Mytilus edulis: one gene and its partner. The protein of the gene in region 1 interacts with the protein of each later gene in a biochemical or structural test. Links are inferred from orthologs where the notes say so. Each region holds a gene or a part of one and is shown in the gene's direction. Other genes may lie near its edges. The genes, in order: E3 SUMO-protein ligase RanBP2-like and ran GTPase-activating protein 1-like.

The links.
Region 2: the proteins of E3 SUMO-protein ligase RanBP2-like (region 1) and ran GTPase-activating protein 1-like form a complex in vitro, tested with the Homo sapiens proteins (5 studies listed by BioGRID and IntAct, with this or other methods). The link is inferred for Mytilus edulis from reciprocal best matches to the Homo sapiens genes RANBP2 and RANGAP1.

Annotation. Positions count from the first base shown.
Region 1 is NC_092348.1:12,672,097-12,676,041, reverse strand, and holds the start of E3 SUMO-protein ligase RanBP2-like, read left to right. Parts: upstream 1-1,579; 5' UTR 1,580-1,644; coding exon 1,645-1,704; intron 1,705-3,945. UniProt on the Homo sapiens protein: E3 SUMO-protein ligase which facilitates SUMO1 and SUMO2 conjugation by UBE2I. Involved in transport factor (Ran-GTP, karyopherin)-mediated protein import via the F-G repeat-containing domain which acts as a docking site for substrates.
Region 2 is NC_092351.1:73,540,208-73,544,152, forward strand, and holds the start of ran GTPase-activating protein 1-like, read left to right. Parts: upstream 1-1,216; 5' UTR 1,217-1,307; coding exon 1,308-1,422; intron 1,423-3,945. UniProt on the Homo sapiens protein: GTPase activator for RAN. Converts cytoplasmic GTP-bound RAN to GDP-bound RAN, which is essential for RAN-mediated nuclear import and export. Mediates dissociation of cargo from nuclear export complexes containing XPO1, RAN and RANBP2 after nuclear export.

The DNA of each region.
Region 1 (3,945 bases):
AAATGTATTTGATGTCTCAGGTGTGAAAACTTTAATGACATGTTATTTGGCTTGATTGGTGATTACAACAAGTGTCAAAATTAGATTAATTTGATTAAATATCATTACTTCTAATATGCATTGGTGAACTCGCTCACATAAACATTTTGGGCTCATTGTTTTTACTTTAAAGTTTATTTTTCTTGTAAAATATTTATCTAATCTCACAAATTATTTCATTTCATGGACAGATATATTATAAAAATGAAGAGATATTAAAACTTGTGTTGATCAGTTCAATATATTTAAATAATAATATCGTCGAATGTTAATTCCCTCAGATCAACTTTTTTTTTTAAGAACAACATTTAACATATTTGATATAAGGTTTATATTTTCATATTAAGTACTTATTGATCTCTCAGATTTCATAAATTTGATAAAATAAAAGAGATATAAACACTTGGGTCTACCAACTTATATTAAGGCATATAACGGCGAATGTTTGTTCCGTCCGGTCATCTTTTTTTGAAGAAAAACATTTTTATTTACTATAAAGTTTATATTTTAATATCAAGTATTTATTGATCTGGTAGATTTCTTAGTTTCGTGTAAAAATATTGTAAAACAAATAAGATATTGACACTTATTTGTATCAGTTCAATATAATTAACGCGTACATCGGCGAATGTGAACACCGTCCGGTCAACTTTTTTTGGAGACAAACTTTTTTTTTCACTATAAAGTTTATATTGTCGTATCCAATATTTATTATTCTCACAGATTCCTGAATTTCATGATAAAATATTGTAAAACAAAAGAGATATCAACACTTGTCGTCGACCAGTTGAAAATATATATAGCGTATATCGGCTAGGGTGAATACCGTCCGGTCAACTTTTTTTGCAGATTTGTTTTCTTTTTTACCCTAAAGTTTATATTTTCGTGTAATATATTATTCAATCTCACAGATTCTTGAGTTTCATCGACAACTATTGTAAAACAAAAGAGATATTAACACTTGTCGTCGACCATTTCAATATATATATAGCGTATATCGGCGAGGGTGAATACCGTCCGGTCAACTTTTTTTTGAGAAAAACACGTTTTTTTGCAATCAAGTTTATATTTTCGTATAACATATTTATAAATCTCACAGATTCCTGAGTTTCATCGACAAATATTGTAAAACAAAAGAGATATTAACACTTGTCGTCAACCAGTTGAATATATATTTAGCGTATATTGGCGAGTGTGAATACCGTCCGGTCAACTTTTTTTGCTCAAAAATAATTATTTTTCCTCTTTTTTTTTATATTCATAAAATATAGTTTAATATCTTTCAGGTTTACAAATATTAAACAAATCTATCGGATAACAAAAAAGTTATGACTATATATATGTCGTCCGGTCAACCGTCCTGTCACTATCCGGGCAATCGTCCTGTCATTAGTGGTTCCCGGGAATTTGATCGAGTGTATTTGGGTTTATGGGACTTGATGAAGAAAATATCCGATACTATACGAAGTAAGCGGCAAACTTAAAAATATTACACCGAATTTGATTGGTCCGATTGAGGTGGTAGTTGTAAAATGTAATCTTATTGGTTCATATTTTAAAGTTTTTTGTAATCCGCCGGCATGAACGAAAGTGAATGAATGAAAAATGTCAAGACGCAATAGAAAAGACGTCGATAGATATGTATCTCATATCCCTGAAAAAGAGGTAATACTTCAGAATGTTCAATCACAAAAATAATTTCTCTGGACGAAGTTTAAAGTAATATTTGAAAGTGAAAGTGGCTTCTGTCATGACATGAGTTCTGAGAAAAAAGGGGGAGAGATAGGACAATGTGTTCTGTACAATAGTCAATAATGATACCAAGCAAGAAGTTAATAAATACAGATTGAAATAATGAATTGTGTTAATGTTCTGTTGAAGTCAATTCTCCAATATTTATAATGGCAAGAAATGGTTGGCGTTGATATTGCCAATAAATCAGGTTGGAACCAGAAGACCAAACGGGGTAACTTAAAATATTCTGAATGCTATGTAAATAATAGTCCAAATAATTATGAAAGGCTTTTATGCTTCTTTTCTTTGACACCGTACATCAACGTCTTAACGCCGAACTCATATTTTCAGTTGGACTTTAAGAGGGGTAACACTAATGATAGCATCGTCAGGAGACCAAAGGAGGTACACAAAAGAGTTCTTCAAGAACGATAACTATATAACAAATTTGGCCTTGAACCGTTTACGATACCACGTGTTTTACTTTCCACAGGGAATATTTTGACCGATCACTAAACTGAGGTAGGCAAGCGATACTTTCTCAAAATTACACTTTTGTAACAATCTTTAAGCATAATATGAACGATTTAAATATGTTTTGTAACAAACAAAAGTGTCAAAGTGTTGTTATTAAGGTTTACTTTTTGTTAAAATGAATCAACGGTGACGTTGTTGAATTATATAGGCAAATTAATTTGTTTATCGTCTCTCCCTTCAAAAACCTTTTAAAGACATGTACTAAATGATGATCTAAGACATTTCATATCAATTAATTTTAAGTAAAATGTGTAATTATCTCTAAATGAATCTTTTTCAAAAAGATGTCGATAGTTGTCTCCCTTGACATTATAGTCCATTATTTTTTTTTTTGGTTATGTGTAAATGGCTGAAATATATTTGATATAATAACAACTCACCTTATTAATGTAATCAGTTAATATATTAGTATGAAAGCATAATTGAAGATATTTGAATAGACTAGTGTGTGTAACTAGCTTTGTTTAAAAAGGGGGGTGGATATATTAGGTGACTCCATCGGTTGTAATGTGTAGTATGGGGTCAAATACTGATTCAACCACACATGTATTCAGTGAACTTCAATACACATCATGTCAATATAAATCTGTTTTTTTAAATAACGACAGTGTTTATTTAATCAAAAGTAACAGCTGTCGATTGATCCTCGTTAAAAGAGGGGGGTGTACATGTTTGTGTAAAAAATAAATTGTTACAATAACAATAATAATAGTACATGATGTAAATATTAATGAATGAATAGATTTATTGTGATTTATTGTGAGCGAAATCTACACAAGAATGGACCAGAACTGCAATTGTTATCTCCCTTGAATAAGCTTGTTGTTTCAATCATACTAATAATTATTTAACCTAATATTTAATTATGATAAATTACACAACAATTAATAAAAAGTAGTATTTACAATTAGGTTCAAGAAAATATTTATCAACATTTGGTTATTTTTTGTCTTTTTTGAAATATATAAATTTTTGACTCACCAATTTTTGGAACATTTGATGTTTTTATATAGAGTTAAGATTTTTAAACACTACACTACTGCGAAAACTAAAGGCTCTATAGTAACCTACAGTTGTTTATCAAGAGAAAAAAAAGTAACCTACAGTTGTGAATGAATATAGCTGTGACATTGTGGGGTCTGGTGTATATATCACCGTGGCAATAATACCACATCTTGTATTTTATATATTCCGGTTGAAGTCAAGCATGGCTAATCTGTCACTATTGTTGATATTTATAGTATTATCGTATTTGCAACACTCTCATGTGTAGTCAATGTTGTAAAAAAAAAATACAATATTATTTTTACTTATTCATTAATCCATAAATTCCACACAGCTCTCATTCGTTTATAAGTATATAATTGGAGATCTGGCTTATATTAAATAACAAAACCGTTTCAACTAAACAGTATTAAGGAACAGACCTCTATAATGAAAGAAAAAATGTATGTGATTGCATTTTTTAATTCATGGTTTCAATATTTATTGAGCAATTTATCATAGCACCTTCAACAATGGGGAAAATCCATACTCCATAGTAATTGAAATGCCTTTAATTGATACTTATAAAATGATTTATAAGAATGAAGAAAAGAATAAACCTGATTTATGTACAAAATAATAAATAAAAAG
Region 2 (3,945 bases), on another chromosome or scaffold:
CAAATGATACATGTTTGTGACAAACTAAAACAAACAAAAACTAACATACACTCATACATATACCGGTAATAAATAATACATATATCAATTGTTGCAAGTATAAAATATAGTGACAAGTCAAAACACAAATTACAACATATCAATATACCACAAAACTTTTAACCATGGTATATATCAAGAGTCCACTGTCCTCAGTTCTATTGACTGTTTTAAAAAGAATGACATCTTGCTGCACGAGGGGCGTAAAAAGAGGCCAAGTATTTGCACAGAATCACAAATAAAAATTTCTTGCAAGATGATTTTTTTTCCGATTTCACGAAACACTGTGAATAACGAACCTTTTGCACGGCTGCGCGTGAAATAAAAATGGTACTTGAAACACGTACGTTGCACGAAAATAACCCTTTACCATCCTCTAAAACATGTATCTGTGTCTGAGTGTTCAAATACAATCTAGAAATCTTGAATCTTGTTTCCTTTGTGTAAGGGCGATAACTCCATTGACTTTTATTATATACAAACATGTAAATATTATAGAACAAGTATATGATAATAACTAAACATGTAAAATGGAACCAATGTTCTCACATCTCAACATCCGTTATGTTTTTACCTTCTAAACTATTCAAAATGTGAAAGGGACGAGTCACAGACACAATAAACTATAAAAGACCTGTAAACAAAAACAACCTAGAATTATTGTATTTTCTGTCTCTGACAATGCAATCTAACAAAATTATTACAAAATTACTGAAAAAAATCATACAAAATTATTACAAAATTACTGAAAAAAATCATACAAAATAATTATAAAAAGTAAAAAAAAAATAACAAATTAACTGACAACTAACAAACCAAAAACCAGAAACATATATGTACCTGCACATACTTAATGTATTTAAGAAATAAACAAGGCCAAAGAAATATATACAAAATATACTGAAACCAAGGATTTGTATAGATCTAGCCATGATACAAATCCTTTAAAACTGAAACGCAACCCGGCGGTGAATACATTAGCTAAATTTATTTTTTTATATATTCGAAATCTTATGCAAAAAAACCAATAGTGGTCGTAAGAACTCATGGCACAGTACACTAGATGTATGAAAAAGTAGTTCTAGCCAATCTTAAAAACATTTTTTTTTAATGTGGCGATATTTGATTTTGGGACGAATAAAGCATTGGGCGATATATAAATATTCATGGTATTTGGTCAGACCATTGAAACGGAAGTAACAAACAGCGCCATAAACTTGAAAGCGAGAAGGCCCAACTGCCTTGATTTTACAAATATTACCCTTAAAATGTCATCAAAAGACTTGACATCAGTAACTGAACAGTTGGCAAAGACCAAAGTTAATGAAACATATGAACTAAGTTTCAAAAATAAGGGACTGAAGCTAAATAGCGCTGCTGATGGTAATCATAAATAACAACAGAACAAACAAACAAAACAAAAACAAATATAAGTTATTAAGCGCATTGTGTTGACGTAGCACCCGAATGGATATACTAAGCTAAAGGAAAGTTTCATGCTTACTCATTCACTGCAATGCTACAAACTTTGGGCCTTATTATACACCTTAATATCCAGGGTTTCCCCAGTGGCAATTTTCTTTTTCGCCACCTCGTGCCAAAAGCAGGTGGCAGTTAGGTCCGCTGCTGTATGCCCTGAGGTAATCGGTGCCCTGAGGTAATCGTGGTAATGCGTCATTGATTAAATACGCACGAAAATATAGTTCTTATTTAGATAGATCTTAATACCAAATTTTAATGTGACCAAATACCAAAGATGTCAACAAACTTCCCAAATGATTTTATTATTTGTTTTCACCGATCATTCATTTCGTATGTACGTGTAGGGTGGGGATGGCTGGTAAAATTATAAACTTTTTTTTTTTTTTTTTTATAAAAGTTCAATTAATGATCTGAAGTATTCATTCATGACAGGGTTACCTGAGGTAACCCCAATTATAACAACAAATACAACCATTAAACTCAAGTCAACTGAGGTAACTTTATATATACATCACATAAACAATACAAATCTATGAAGTCCTACATTCTATTATAAAATTAAGAAATTGTGTAATTAAAATATAAATGTATACACTAGCAAAGTATGTACTAAAAATTCTTTCATAACAGGGTAACCTGCGGTAACCCAAACAATAACAGCAAATACAACCTATTTAACTCAAGTTAATTCAGATCACCTTTACATATACATCACATAAACAATATAATTTCAATGAATTCCTACATAACAAAAGAAGAAAGTGGTTTATTACAGCATAAATGCATATACTAGCAAAGTATCTACTAAGTATTTTGTTATGACAGGGTTACCTCAGGTAACCCATAAAATAGCAACAAGTATTATCCATTGATATCAAGTTAACTAAAGTCGCTTTTCCGATATGTCACATAAACAATACACATCTATGAGGCGTACATGTAAAATAAAGAAATTGTTTGATTACAACATAAATGTTTTCGCTAGCAAACCATCTAATAAGATTCTTTATAACATGGGTACCTGAGGTAACCCCAGATATAATTACAATTATAACCCACTTAACTTAACTGAAGTAAACTGAGATCACCTTTACATGTAAATCAAATAAACAATACAACTTTCATGAAGTCCTACATTTGAAATAAAGAAGTTTGTTTATTACAATAAATGTAAACACTACCAAAGTATTACGAAGTATTCATTCACGACAGGGTTACATGAGGTAATCCCAATAATTACAATAAATACAACCTATTCAACTCAAGTTAACTCAGGTTACATTTATATAGACCTCGCATACACAATACAAATCTATGAAGTCCTACATTTTAGATTAAGAAATTGTGTCATTACAGCATAAATGCATATACCAACAAATTATCTACGAAGTATTCTTTCATAACAGGGATACCTCATGTTATTTCAAAGATAACAACAAATATAATCCATTCAAATTAAGTTGACTAAAGTCGCTTTTCCTGAATATCATATAAACAATACTTATCTATGAAGTCCAAAATGATAAAGTAAATGGTTTATTAGAAGTTAAATGTATACTCTGGAAAACTATCTACGACGTATTTTTACGTGACAGGGTTACCTCAGATAACCAAAACAATCACAACAAAGATAACCCATCTAACTCAAGTTCACTCAGGTTACCTTTAAATACATATACATCACATAAACAATACAAATCTATGAAGTCCTACATTTCAAATTAAAAAATTGTGGAATAACAATATGAATGTATACACTAGCAAAGTATCAACTTAGAATTCTTTCATAGCTGGGTTACCTGAGGTAACCGAAACAATAACAGCAAATACAACCTATTTAACTCAAGTTAATTCAGATCACCTTTACATATAAAATTGAGAATGGAAATGGGGAATGTGTCAAAGAGACAACAACCCGCCCAAATAAAAAACAACAGCAGAGGGTCACCAACAGGTCTTCAATGTAGCGAGATATTCCCGCACCCGGAGGCGTCCTTCAGCTGGCCCCTAAACAAATATATACTAGTCCAGTGATAATGAACGCCATACTAATTACATCACATAAACAATATAACTTCAAAGAATTCCTACATTAACAATTAAGAGGTTGGTTTATTACACCATAAATGCATATACTAGCAAAGTATCTACTAAATATTCTGTCATTCACGGTTACCTCAGGTAACTCATAAGATAGAAACAAGTATTATCCATTCATATCAAGTTAACTTAAGTCGCCTTTCCAATATATCACATAAACAATACCCATCTATGAAGTCCTTCATTTAAAATAAAGAAATTGTTTGATTGCAACATAAATGTTTACACTAGCAAACTATCTAAAAAGCATTCTTTATAACATGGGTACCTGAGGTAACCCCAGACATTATTACAAGTATAACCCACATAACTGAAGTTAACTGA